Linked DNA regions of Drosophila melanogaster. The protein of the gene in region 1 interacts with the protein of each later gene in a pairwise test. Each region holds a gene or a part of one and is shown in the gene's direction. Other genes may lie near its edges.

Evidence for each region.
Region 2: the proteins of Max (region 1) and Mnt interact in a two-hybrid assay, tested with the Drosophila melanogaster proteins (2 studies listed by BioGRID).

What each region holds. Positions count from the first base shown.
Region 1 is NT_037436.4:19,260,429-19,268,444, reverse strand, and holds Max (Max), read left to right. Parts: upstream 1-4,260; 5' UTR 4,261-4,419; coding exon 4,420-4,464; exon of another isoform or gene 4,465-4,539; coding exon 4,540-4,605; exon of another isoform or gene 4,606-4,679; intron 4,680-4,920; coding exon 4,921-5,028; intron 5,029-5,237; coding exon 5,238-5,361; intron 5,362-5,426; coding exon 5,427-5,569; 3' UTR 5,570-6,213; downstream 6,214-8,016. Other genes in the region: Aldh7A1 (aldehyde dehydrogenase 7 family member A1), read left to right, coding at 1-1,608; CG45081 (uncharacterized protein), read right to left, coding at 2,088-2,366; Mettl5 (methyltransferase like 5), read right to left, coding at 1,698-1,851, 3,002-3,489; CG42374 (uncharacterized protein), read right to left, coding at 3,501-3,764, 3,823-3,948; Bet1 (blocked early in transport 1), read right to left, coding at 6,342-6,695. UniProt on the Drosophila melanogaster protein: Transcription regulator. Forms a sequence-specific DNA-binding protein complex with MYC or MAD which recognizes the core sequence 5'-CAC[GA]TG-3'. The MYC-MAX complex is a transcriptional activator, whereas the MAD-MAX complex is a repressor.
Region 2 is NC_004354.4:3,669,826-3,676,396, forward strand, and holds the start of Mnt (Mnt), read left to right. Parts: upstream 1-1,975; 5' UTR 1,976-2,214; intron 2,215-6,571. Other genes in the region: Parg (Poly(ADP-ribose) glycohydrolase), read right to left, coding at 1-762, 830-1,542.

The sequences.
Region 1 (8,016 bases):
AGAAATATTTCGAAGCTGGCGCTGCCGCGCCGCCTCGTTACCCAAACCGCCAGCTACTCATCGTCCTCGTCATATCTCATTGACCAGCCGGAGTACAGTTTCCTGAAAGAATTGGGACTGGAGCGCGACAATCCAGGTGTTTATTCGGGTCAGTGGCAGGGTCGTGGGCCATCCGTTACCAGCTACGATCCCGGAACTGGTCAACCGATTGCCAAAGTGCGTCAGGGAAATGTCCAGGAGCTCGAGCATACCATCGGGCTGGCGGTGGAAGCCTACAAGCAGTGGCGACAGGTTCCAGCTCCCGTTCGCGGCGAAATAGTGCGCCAAATCGGCGATGAGCTGAGAAAGTACAAGGAACCACTGGGAAAGCTCGTCTCCCTGGAGGTGGGCAAAATCTACAGCGAGGGACAGGGCGAGGTTCAGGAGTTCATAGATATCTGCGACTATGCGGTTGGCCTCTCAAGGATTTACTCCGGCCAGCTGATCAACTCGGAGCGTGCGGATCATTCGATTCTGGAGGCCTGGCGTCCGCTGGGAGTGGTGGGCGTTATTTCGGCCTACAATTTTCCCAATGCTGTGTTCGGCTGGAATGCTGCCATCGCCCTAACCACCGGCAACAGTGTGCTGTGGAAAGGAGCTCCCAGCACTCCCTTGGTCTCGGTGGCGACCACAAAAATTGTGGCTGAAGTGCTGCGTAGGAACAATCTGCCGCCGGTGGTGACCCTCTGCCAAGGAGGAACCGATGTTGGTCAGACCTTGGTGGCTGATAAGAGAGTTAACCTCGTTTCCTTCACCGGCAGCTGCCAAACTGGTCGGGATGTGGGTGTTGAAGTGCAGCGCAGATTCGGCAAGGTGATCCTCGAGCTAGGCGGCAATAATGCCCTAATCATCGATGAATCTGCCAACGTGAAGATGGCCCTGGACGCCGCACTTTTCGGCTGCATTGGCACCAGTGGTCAAAGATGCACCACCACCAGGAGGATTATTGTCCACGAAAAGCTGCACGATCAGTTCGTAAAGGAGCTGGTTGGTAAATATAAGCAGCTAATTTCCAAGATTGGACACCAGCTCGAAGCTCAAACTCTGGTGGGTCCCGTGCACACGCAACAAAACGTGGAGAACTACAAGGCGGCCATCGCGGAAGCGAAATCCTTAGGAGGAACGGTGGCCTTCGGAGGTAATGTCATCCAGCGGGATGGTTTTTACGTAGAGCCCACAGTGATCACTGGATTGCCGCACGATGCCAGCGTTGTCCATCGCGAAACCTTTGCACCAATTGTGTACATCCTCAAAGCCAAAAACGTGGACCAGGCCATCGAATGGAACAATGAGGTGGAACAGGGCTTATCCTCTGCCATTTTCACGGAGAACATCGGGCAGGCGTTCAAGTGGATTGGAGCCAAGGGTTCCGATTGCGGTATAGTTAACATCAACACCACCACCAACGGCGCCGAGATTGGTGGAGCTTTCGGAGGCGAAAAAGCCACTGGAGGAGGTCGCGAGTCCGGATCCGATGCCTGGAAGCAGTATTGCAAGCGGGCCACCATTACAGTCAATCACTCCGGAGAATTGGCCTGCGCCCAGGGTGTTGTCTTCAATGTGGAGTAGAAAACACATACGATCAATTTTAATGTGCTACAATTTACAATACTATTACATATAATGTCCAAAACTAAATGCAACTGATATAATTCTTCCTATTCCGTGCCGATTTCAAAGCGCCAGAAGTCCACCTCAATATCCTTCGACTTCTGCTTGTGAAACTTGTAGCTGGCGTCGATGTTGTACCGGAGTTCGGCGACCACTGAGCCGCGGGCGCCCCATTCCAGTGCCTTTTTCTGAATGTACGACCTGCGAACAATTAAAATCGATATTTAAATTGGCTTTGATGTACTATTCCACAGTTGTTTAGGCTTGGCTATTCTTCCATAAAAAACAGGAAGGGGTCGAATAATAAGATACCCTTTTAATTAAAGAACTCATCGTTTTAATATGAGTAGCATATATATTTTAAAATATTTAATTTCCATAATTTCTCACTAAAATCTAAACTATTGATGGAACGTGCTGCATCTTATCCACATACTTTATGTGTAAAGCAGCTGCAGGCAGTTGGGACCGCTGCGGCAGCAACCACCCCCGCAGACAGGAACCACTGCATCTCTGGGAATGCGGCGGCAAAGGCTGGGCGGACCGCGGTAGTCTCTTCGGAAGCACAGTCTCTCGCACACTGTCCCGCCAGCGGACACTCGAATGGGGGTGAGACGGCATTGGCCGCTGCCCAGGATTTGCGCATCAGTGGGCATGGGGGCCAGAAGAATCGCCAGCACCACAGTGATGATTAGAAGGCTACGTGAGAGGATCATCTTGCTGCTGACTTCTAGTTGCTATCTGTAACTTGTTGGTGTTTCTGCGGCGTTTTATAGTTGTGAGCAGCGCTCTTAACAAAACAACAACAAAAGCAGAAACAGCGGTAAGGAAGCACATTTACCGAAAAGCGGGTACAATTGTATCTCTTGTTTACTGTGCCAATAACAAAAGATTGCGCATCTGTTTATACCAGCAGATATTCTTAAAGTATAAATCTGCATATGTACATTCATATGCCGAATATTGAGTATCAATATATTTTAAAATATATACCTATATATAGACCAGTAAGCATACTACTTGAGTATCTGTTTAACCAAGAGATCTACACTATTAAACAAGAGAGAATGGTATAACCAAGATTTCGAATATCAGATACGCCGCTCATCTAGAGGGATTGCTAGAGAGGAATTCCAAATTTTGTTTAGATATGGATAGAAATTGTAAAGGAAATAAGATAAGTTATATCAAAAGATTTTTTCAAAACGTTGGTTATACACGGCTGGTAATCCTAATTAAAAATATACTTTGTAAAGCGGAAATCGCTTCCCTCTACCTGTTACATTCTTTGCAAGAAAACTTAAGTTTTCCTCTACGAATATCGATTATAATCAATTTTATACAGACTTACCGTGTTGACGTCTTGTGTAGGGAGTAAACTGCTCTGTTGGCCAACCGTAGGGCCACCTCCAGAAACCGCATGTCCATGCCGGCATTGTGTTTCGTGCCGAATGGGGGATTCATCAGCACCGTGTCAAAGGACTTCTCCCACTTGCTGCCGATCAGCTGCAGCACATCCGCCCGCACGCAGTCAACATTGGGTAGCTCCATCTCCACCACATTGCCCCTAAAGGTGTCCACGGCATCGCCGTCCAGTTCGAAGCCCACCGTGAGCTGGGCGCCCAGCAGAGTGGAAGCAATGCTGAGCATTCCGCAGCCGCAGCCCAAATCTCCCACCAGCTTTCCCTCGATGTCCTCGTGCTGCGACTGCATGTGATGAGCCATGCACGCGGCTATGTGCGGCGGAGTGGGGTACTGTTCCAACAGGATCTTGGGCTGCTCGAAACCGTCAACGCCCTGCAGGTACTCCTCCAGTTTCCTCAGCTTCAACCGGGCCATTGTGGATCCGGCTATTTGCTGATACTGTGGCTGGGCGGAGCGTTCGGAGTAGTGGGCGTGGTCGCAGGCGACGGCAGCGGCTCCAGACGAGGCAGCACGGGTATAAAGCTATTTCCAAAATACGAATCCTGAGGTATAAAGAAGCCCAAAGTCGTAGAGCTCGTTGGATTAAATGCAGAGCGGGCGGTGGATGTGGCATTGGTGGCAATGCCCACGCCCGCCTGGAAGTCTGGATTCACTGTCGTCGGCTGTCCCAGCAACTGGGGTGCGGGCATCTACGATAGAAGACCAGGTAAACACATTTTCCGATCGGCATGTTCCCAACGAACTCACCTGGTTCGGCGGACTCAGACCAAGGTTTATGATCCCGCCCGCGAGCAACTGCTTCTTCGTCTGGATCTCTTCGAGTATCTTGCGGTTCGTCTCGGCTTGCTGGGCACTTGTGGTGGGAAAAGCCATCAAATAAACTAGTAAAAGTCTGAACTATATCAAAAACTTCTTGTAGACTGCTGCTCCTGCCGCTGCCTTTGGCATTTTGCGAGCAGTGTGGTCACACTGGCGAGTACTGTAGTGTGGCGGAAATAGTAGCGGTATTCGAACTGAACCAAATGTGCGAATAAACAAAAAATCTGCAACAAACAAGAGTGTTAAGCGAATATTGAATTTGTGCTTAATATATATATAATTTGTATTTAATACAAATCAAATATTAATAATATTGGTGACCTTTTGGTGCCACTTAAGTTTGAAGTATTATTAGCATTCCTCTATTTGGTCACTCTGCAAGTCTTACAACGTGAGCAGACAACAACAAAATTACATGTTTATTTGGAATAATCACAAAAAACAAAAAACTTACCAACTTAGTGGAATAATCTTAGGAAATATCTATTAATTTGCGCGCAATCCGTGCAAAACAAGTGAAGCAACATGAGTATGAGCGACGACGACCGCGACATAGACATCGAAAGTGACGTAAGCAAGGCGTAGAGGAAAATACTGATACGTGTGTTTAATATTGATTTTAATGCCAAATTAACGACTTTTTAGGAGGACGGGGACTCGGACACTGGCTTGGGATCCTCGCGACACACAAACACCGCCAATTTCACCCAGGTGACTATCCATCATGCATAAACTGAGTGGGAAAAAGCGACTGCGCACATTGCCTTTTGTTGATAAACAGAACGCACACGTGTTGTTGTTGCTGTTACAGAATCGTGATTACGATACAGCAGAGTTCACAGCAATAGGATTCGTAATCGAAAATAATCTTAGAGGGACTGAATATATTATATATTACTATTTACTAACTTATCTTTCTGTTCATATTGCTTTGAGACCATTTTGTTCCATTTTTGTTATTATTTCCATACTCTGCTGTATTTACGATGGAATTTCCTATATGCTAATTTTAATGTTTGTTTCAAGGCCGAAAAGCGGGCGCACCACAACGCTTTGGAGCGAAGGCGGCGCGATCACATCAAGGAGAGCTTCACCAACCTGCGTGAGGCGGTGCCCACACTCAAGGGCGAAAAGGTAATCCAGAAGAGCAACAGGTGACACAGCCGGGCTCATTTTCTGCCAAGAAAATCCCATAAGTCCATACCAGTTCGTTTTACAATAAACTACATTATTGCTTGTCAAATTAAGCAAATCGCATAAAATATATTAAAAAAATCCACACCCTGTGTGATGAAGCTAATAAGAAGTAGTAATAAGTTAATAATACATATCTTTTGTTACAGGCGAGTCGAGCTCAAATCCTGAAAAAGACCACCGAATGCATACAGACGATGAGGCGGAAGATCAGTGAAAACCAGAAAGACATCGAAGAGATCAAGAGGCAAAACAACATAATAGCTAAGCAGAGTGAGCAACTAACTACTACAGGTTATTAATGAACTTCCTGCTAAGATACTTTATATACTTTCCAGTACAAGCACTGGAGAGTTCAAATGGGGATCAGTTCAGCGAATTTCTCAGCGACGAGGAAGTGGGCAGCGAGGAGGCCGACGACGAAGACCTCGACCAGGACTTCAGTAGACGCAATAAAAAGATGAAGACCTTCCACGCATAGCCGCTGATCCAATCCAAAGTGCTGCTTACAGGCGTGTTCCGGCTTCCGTTTTCACCGACATTCTGAATTCTTACGTGGATTTAGTTCAACTTTGAGTTGTGTTATACGAAAGCAATAGCCCTCGAAAAGTTGTGAAGGAAACGGTTCCAAATTCGAATTAAAGTGAAAATTAAAATTATGTGGAAATGAGAACAGTAACAAGTCCGATAATCATAATCATCATTAGCTGTAAGCCCAAAATGTAACCCACCCAATCGACCTTAATTTGTATGCGTGCGTCTTTTCTACTTTCAACAAATTGTCACTCTGTGCGCAAAGAATAAAGTAAACTAGTAAGTACATATTTTTAGAAAAAAACAGGGGCTTCTTGTTGATGAATTCTATTATGGAAATTGGAAAATATAACGGACCAATTGAGTAACATGAGTGCTGCTTTTGAAGAAGTTTATAAATGATAAAAGGATTGACATTTTATGCGATTAGGGCTAAATAAAATCAGCAATTTTTGCAAGTAATTTGATCACTTGATACTGGAACCTTCCCTTATTTATATCTGGAATCTCCTTTTGCTTATTACTCGAGAACTATAAAGAACGAGCTGAAAAAACTTTAACGTACGTATCTGTCTTTCTAATATTGGTTTGAACTTAAGAAATATATTTAACTTTATGGTTTTAAGCCAAAAGTGAACCGCATTCCGAACCAAATACAACCTTCGACTACACTAAACCATACAAATATGTGGGTATATATTTTATAAAATTACCAACAACTACTTAAACTTTAGGGTTATCCAGAGGATTAAGAACACGACGAGGATGAAGAGGAACATGTAGCACATTTGGCGAGCACCACCGCCCTGTTTGGCCAGTCGCACCACCCGCGTCATCGCGTTGCCCAGAAATCCACTCGTCCGGTCCATGTCGTCGTCGATGCCGCGCAGCAGCTTGTCCTGGTAGCGCACCTCATTGCCTATATCGATGGTGAGGGACTTCAGGGCCCCGATCTTCTGCTTCAACTCCTCCGCCGCCTGCTCGTTTTCCGCCTCCAAGGCGTCGTGGCTCGCAGGATGGGGCCCTGAAGGGTGCTGGTTTAGGGGCTGGTACGGGTAGTTGTTGCGGCGCATACTGCTCCCCGAGTGTGCCAGTTTGGCATCCGGATTGCTGCGGATCGGGTGAATTTAACGAAATTAATTAATTATAAATTAATACAATGCTCACAAATCTCAGTTTTCGAAGTGACACGTAAACGTAAACATGTAATCTCACCCAGCGGCAGAACAGCTGTTGGGATATACGCTTCTTGGCTCAACCTTTGTGGTTGACTGTGCATTGACCCTTGACCTCGTGTTGTGATTTCCAGAATCGGTTGACTAATGCCTCTACTTATTAAACGAAACTTTTTAAATTCTCATGCAATTCAATTTTTAGTCGCCGAGCAGTGTGACCAAAGCGGAGTAGCAAAATTATTCCGTAGCAATGCGTGTGGCAGAGATTACGATTTTCAATTAACCCATTGCTTGCCAATACGCTTTTAATATCGTAAGTTCTTTCTATAAGTTTCCAAAACTTACTATATATATATATATATATTGTTTTAAGATTTCATAAAAATTTGATTAGGGAAATCGGGACAGACAACGAGACAGTCGGCGGTCGGCAAAAATTCACCTCCAAATAACTAAAAAATAAATAAATAAAAATCGTCCCCATGTTCAAAATTCCACAGTTTCACCATCGCCGCTAAAAAAAAATTTGTATTATATTTAGGTGTTCATTAAAATATGGTACGTACAGTTATTATTACACATATTATGTGTAAGAATTATTAGTTTATTATATATAATGCAAAAACAATATTAGTTTAATATTAATTAAATAGTAATTAGGCAATTCAAACATTATTTGTAATTATTTCAAATAAAATAAATAAAATATATTCATAAAAATATGGGACATATGTAAAATATGTCAAAGAATTATTTAATAACAATGCATAAAATACTGTTATTAGCAGTTCGTTTTAATATGCAAACAAATTTAATCAAATATAAATAAAGCATGTTTTTAGTAGATAGTAAAAACATATATGGTTATATGTGGATCCTAAGTACTACTTTTAAATGTTAGAAACAGTGGGTTAATCCGTGTGCCTATTACTGTTAGAGTCGGGTAATTTCCGTGCTCTCGCCTACGGCCACACTGCTCCAGTGTTAGTAACTTAACTTTAGGTAATTTTGGCCATAATTTGGCATGCCGCTCTCGATTTTGTTGCTCCCGCTCGCTTTCATCAACTGGCCGTGAAATCAATAAGCATAAAATATTCAAGTTCGTGCGGTGGCAAGTGCGTCATTATCGAGTTCACTGGTTCGCCGAGATAATGCGACCTTTGCATTTGAATTTTCATTGACCCTGACCAAGTGCACTCGTTTGTTGTTGCTGTTGCTC
Region 2 (6,571 bases), on another chromosome or scaffold:
TCCCTAAACTCCACATTTCCAAAGGTATAGTAGGCCAAAGGTCTGCCCAACTGGGCGCAGACCATAAGTTGCAGCAGGGCTTTCAGATAGGAGTCACCGCCGAATGCGCCGCAACCCCAGTTACCAGTTGCCACACCCGGTGGCGGCGTCACCATCCAGTGAACAAATCCAATGTACGCCTTGTTCAGCTCCCTTTCCATGAGATCCTCGCGATATTGATGATGTGACTGGGCAAAATGTAGGGCATCGATTGCCACAATGGCCGTTTGTCGACGACCTGAGCTATCTCTTGGCGTTGAATCCTCAAAGTTGCCGGACCACTCGAAGCTTCCGGCATATCCCGTATAGTTACTATACCTTTCGGCGCCCAACATCACCAGGGCCTCGAATGGTCGCAGACACTCCGTAAAGAGTTTACCCACCAATAGCTCCGGACAGATAACAAAGCGTATCTCCTCCTGAACGCAGCCATGTCCCAAGACACCGCCACCCAAATATTTGTTGGCAAAGTCTACTTGCAGCAGTCCAATGCCCTCATCCTCGATTGTTCCCTCGGCATCCACGTGCAATGGCACATCACCCAACGGCGCCGCACTTTGGCTCCAGTCGATCAGATGTTCCGGCAATCCGCTCCGACGAACAAAGGTTACCACACCGGTGGGCACATTGCTGGCATCCCGCTCTGTGGGACACACGCGACGAAAATAGTGCATAATGCATTTAAGCTTCTCCAGAACTGCCGGTCCCGTCGATTGGTAAAGCCTTTTGATGGAATCGAATATATTTAACATACTTCGACTGAAGATATACGAATCTGGTGGACGCTCACCTGTTAAAGTTGATGTCTGGAAAAGTGCTGTACTCGGACTTCCTCTTGAGGGTGTTTCTCCGGGGAAAGGTGCACAGGAAGGCATTGGCCAACAGGCAGGAGATCTGCTGTTGGCTCAGGCTCAATGAGGCGTTCTTGTGGTGCTTGAGCAGCGGAACTGGCGATTGAATCAAGTCCGGTAGCCGCAATGCCAATCGGATAATGCGCGGCAATAGATCCTCGAAGAAAACCCGTGTTTCGCTCTCGTCCAGTTCCTCGTCGAGAAGTTGATGAAGGGCACGAAAGTGCCACTGATCCCTATAGGTGGTATTATATGATATTATCGCCGCCTGCAGTTCCTCACACGTCTTTATGGGCTGCAGAAGGGCTCGTTCGATCATTTCCCAGCGAAAATCGATGGTGGTGCTGCCATCCGGATTCTCCCTCGGATATTTCGACTCGGGCGCACAGGGCAGACGCACATGCTCGGAGTCCCACTTTCCCGGTGATTTGTAGGGGCGTGGCGGTGTTTCACGAATTGGCAGCTGGTACATAACCCGGTGGAGATTGCCGGCAGTCACTGGTGGCAAATTCTCCAATTCGAAAGGCTGCCGATTACGATGTATAGCCTCCATGGAAACTCCACGCCACGAATCATCTAGGGAGTTCGCCAGATTTTCCGGCTCCTCCTCCGTTTCTATTTCGGAAATCCCGCCATCCGGCGACTTCGACATCCTGGCGCAGTTTAAGCACAAAGCCTTGCCGAGTCGATTGGTCAGCACGGATGCACTTGCTCTGCGGCGATTTGCCGTAGATTGGTAAACCTTTTGGAATATCGGAAAAATCAAGTGTGACCTGAATTCTTGCATACCGGTGTTTTGGGGATGAGCGATAGCTGTGATGAATATCGCACTTTATAAATACCACACACTTCGATTGAAGCGTAGTGAATTGAAGCGTTTATATATCGAAATATATTCAAATATATGTTGGTATTCGTTTGAGAATGAATCAATAACAAATTCAAAATTGCATTGCCTTGAATTCGGCGGGCGAAAGTGTGACCATTACATGTGGTATTTTACCTCTCATTGTCGCTAGTATTTAAATACCAGCACGAGAAATACCAACACTGTGTCCGTTGCAATGCGAATTGCAAATATAACCGCCGAAGGAACAACAACAAACAAAAAGAAAAAAAAAACAAATCTTCCAGCAATTTGTCAACTATTTTCTCTAATTTTTTTTTAAAGTGTAAAACTATCATAACGAGCGCCAAGTTTTACGTTAAGTGAAAGGATTTTTTCCTGTCCTTCGTGCGGTAAAAATAATAGTGCATATTACCAAGGAAAATCAAGTTAAAGGCGTCTGCGAAACTTTTATAAATGTATTTAATACTCAAAAAGGTAAGAAGCGGCGGAAAGTAATTGCTGTTTTATGTTTTTATAATCACGTTTGGCAAGAAAATGTTATTTCGTTGACGTCAGTGGTCAAATCAAATTTTTTCAGTTTTTAACCCTTAATGTGGCACTGTCACTCGCACCTATGTATATATTTATGTGATTGTGGTATTTTGCTCAAGCTTACGTGTTGAAAAGAGGAAGAGAAACCGCTGCATACACGTGCAAAGACTCTGAGAATGGACACAAGAGAGCGAGAGAGGGAGAGAGAGAGAGCGCAGTTGTTTGTTTTGAAAGCGTCGCAAAAACAATACAAAAAAGGTCATACATAATTTGCACACACACTTGCATCTGAGGAAAACGCAAAAGCAAATTCACAGCTAGCTAAAAACCAAAATAAATATAATTTATGAAATGTACTTTTGCTAAAGTTCAACACACCTTTATCTCTCCGCGAAATTTGTTTGCACCATCTCTTTCTCTCCTTTTTGCGTAAACAAACGAAAAAGCTTTGCAAGGAGAAGCAAAAAAAAAAAACACAAAAACAAAAATCGAATTATCAGTAGAATTCTACAAAGAAGAGGCGTTTCTCTTCATCGCTCTTCGTACCTGAGCGTAGCCTTCAAATTTGCTTAGATTTCGCCTTGACCATAACCTAGAAATACTCGAAAAAAGTACTGTCAACTCTCAATAAGTTAAACGATCGATTTTCACATAAAGAGATAGAGAGAGAAAGAGACCAGATATTAAGTGAAATTTATTTTACTAAATAAATTTTCAGAAAAAGGTGTAAATCCCGAGCATTTAGATTTCGTTGATGAACTTTAACGCAATGGGAGTCTGCACTGTACATGTAGAGCTTTCTCTTTTCTCATTTGCGTCAGCGAAAATACTAGGAATAATCGGGGGTGGCGTTTCGGGGGTTGGCAAAAAAAACAAGCAACAACAAAAATGCATAGAGCCGAATAATCGCTTGGAAAAAGCGAGCGACGAAAACGCGATGTTAGTAAACTTTTCAAGGTCACCTCAAAAGCATGAACTTATACTAATCAACAGCTGAAAGAAGCAGAAGACTGCACTTCCATGAGTCAGTTTCAGAAATTAAACAAAACGAGGGAACCAAACCAATTTGAAAATTCAATTTACATATTTGTGGAAATTTCTGTTCTTTATTAATTAATATACAGATTTTAAAGAAATAATTCATTTTTGTATCCGAATTCTGATGCACTTCACACATAATTAAAGCAATGTTACCATAAATTATATGGTAGGCAGATTGTATTGTATGAAGAATAAAGTATGGAATAAGCATAAAATATAATAATATATGTATGTATAGAATAACATCAATGAGTTCTTTTTACGAGTGATCACTGTACACATATTTATGTGCGAAAGTCGAATTATATCATGTGATCCCGAATTGTTTGAAATGTTTGGGCTTAAAAGATCGAATAAAAACATCTGCAAATGGATCTAGAAGTTATTTATTTTGTTAAACGCCTTAATCTATAAGTATATTTATTCGCATTGACTTGCTTTTGATTGGGGGAGGCTTCAGTTGTATGCAATAAAAAACAAAACTGAAATGATAAATACAATTGCGTTTGCTTGTTTGTGTTTCGACTTTTTTCTTGGGTTTTGTCAACGCGACTTGGCTCACGTTGGCAAAACAAAGTGCAAAATGATGAACGAGAGGAGGAAGATAGAGTGGAGAAAACCTTGCAGTTACAGGCTGCACTGGCTATGTGCAACTATATATGAATGTATATATGTATCTATCCTCCACTGCATCCAAGCACTCCTAGCTAACTTATAAAGCCAGAAATAATTGTCAAAAAATCCTACAACTGTTTTTAAGTTTTTATTGCAATTGTGCAATGCAGTGCTGTTCACACAAGTGCAAGCATGCAGAGAGAGAGAGAGAAACGTAAATAGTTGACTAGAAAGAGAGGGCTGGCCACACGTGTTGCTAAGGAGGGTCGCTCAACTTTATCGCCCAGCCACCGGGATCCCTTCGCGTACCCAGCAAACCCACAATTTATTTCTTTTTTTTTTGCCAGTAAATATTCGCACACTCTCAAACAAACAAAATAAGAACAACAACAGAGTGCAAAAAAATAAAATTCGCATGCGCTGATGACCTTGAGAGTTCTGCGAGTATAAGACGGAAAAAGCGAAACTGAGACGCCTGCAATGCGAAATGGGGAAGAAAAAATATACAACAAATATCACAAAGAAGAGCAAATTTTCTTTTCAACAAAAAAACAAATAGAGTTTGCGAATTCGCTTGTTAATGGGAAGAATTCTTAAACGAATAAGACGCCTTTGATTTTTGGTATCTGAAATTATGTATTAATAGCAAGTATGTATACATATTATGTTCAACATTAAATGCAGATTATCTATTTATGTTTTGCATCATCAGCACTCATAAATAATTTATCTATTTACCGCTATTATTAATGCAAAAGGCCCCTATATGTATATGCACATATACATACATATGTAAGTATGTAGATATTCATATTTTTTAACTTTTGGCAATGTTCACGCCCCCATTTAAACAAAAAGTGAAATCGTTTTTACGTAGTATTTTGCTGGTTTTCAAAATAAGAAACCAAACAAGCAAACGAAACAAAAATTCACAACAAATAAAAATAGTGCATATGTATGTATGTATGTACAAAAATATGCAAAAAGCAGCACAACAACAATATAATAATAAATAAAAACAAAAGGTGATGGCCAGTCAAGAAGGCCTTAACCCCAATAAATGTGTAAAAACAATGAAAAAGCAACAAGCAATAGCAACAAAATACATAACATTGCTAATTTATTGCGGTTTGTGGGTGGTGAAAGTACAAAAATAAAAAAGGGCTTAAGCTACCTAACAGATGGAGTCTTTCACATTAATCCAAATATGAAAATTACAGACAAGAACATTCAATTTAATCATACAAACTAACTTGCAATTAAAGATAACACAACGGAATGCCGACAGATGGCGCCACCTGATGATATCAGATAGAAAATGCACAACCCATACTGAATGGGATATTAATCTATGTATGTATGTATGTAGCTAATTACATAACCTTAAGATACAAATGCAAGATTATTTACAAAATAATTAAATAAATACATTAAGGAACCAAAACGAGTTCAGTTACGATCATTATATAACGAACTGGAAAACCGAAAAACCTTGAGACACAAAAAAAACGACAAAAATAAATAAACCACAAACAACTAAAGCAAAAAGTCGAATTTTTTCAAGCTAACAATTGCAATTATTTCAACATTAAAAGTTATTTGGCGGCTGCAAAAATTAATTCGATTTTAATTTGGCGCGCATAGGTCTGTGTTGCTATCACCCTTACGATAACTGTCTTTGTTCATATGTATGTATATGTATGTATGTATAGAGAAGATATAGATGTAGGTTTGTCGATCCGATCAGTAAGTAAATAAGTTTTGAACTAGGTTTGGGTAGTTGATTTAATTAGTCACCTTAAACAGTTCAAACAGTATGAAAGCCTAGTATATACATTTATATTACATTAATGGTTTCCGTCTTAATCCCTTCAGTTAACATTGCAATTTATTGCTTTATTACGCCGCTGACGTCAGCGACGCCGGCAGCGCTGCAAGCAGAGGCGTTGTAACAGGGTCTCATTTTATGGGGCGGTTTTGTACAGGGTGGAGCGGGGGGGGGGGGGTGGTATTAGTCACTAGTGACAGCCACAGACTAAAGGGCACTTGTTGTTTGTTCGTAGAGAGAAAAGTGGTATTCGTGGGGCTAAGATTGGAGAGCCGAATGGCCCGCTGACTATAACAAAAGTTAGGTAAAGCGAAATGCTGATAAGCTGAATAGTGAGTAATGATCACACAATTTCAAATAACGAAGTGCAGGTGTCTGTATAAATTAGTAAAAAAAAAAAAAACTTATTGTGTGTATTTGAATGGAAGACAAGCGTTGAACTAAATGATTTTCAATTCAGTTTAATAGCTTATGGAAGAAAGTACAATTTATAAAAAAAAAAAATCACAAAGCGGTTTGCTGCAATTGTGTAATCAATATTTTTTATCAGGTTTCCTTATGCTGTTGCATGACTAAAATGCAACTACGATGTATCACTAATATAATTTGAAAATAATTGAATTTTCTAGAATTGAAAATAAAGCTGTAAAAAATGGAAACTCATAACTGAAGAATTGCTTTCATGCTTTCTTCAAAGGAAATTCTAAGTATACAATTTTCCCACACGCTTGTTAAATATTAATCAACAAAAACCAACAGCAAACTGCCGAAAATTATAAATAATTATTTTTGTCACATTTTCAATGTCAACGTTGT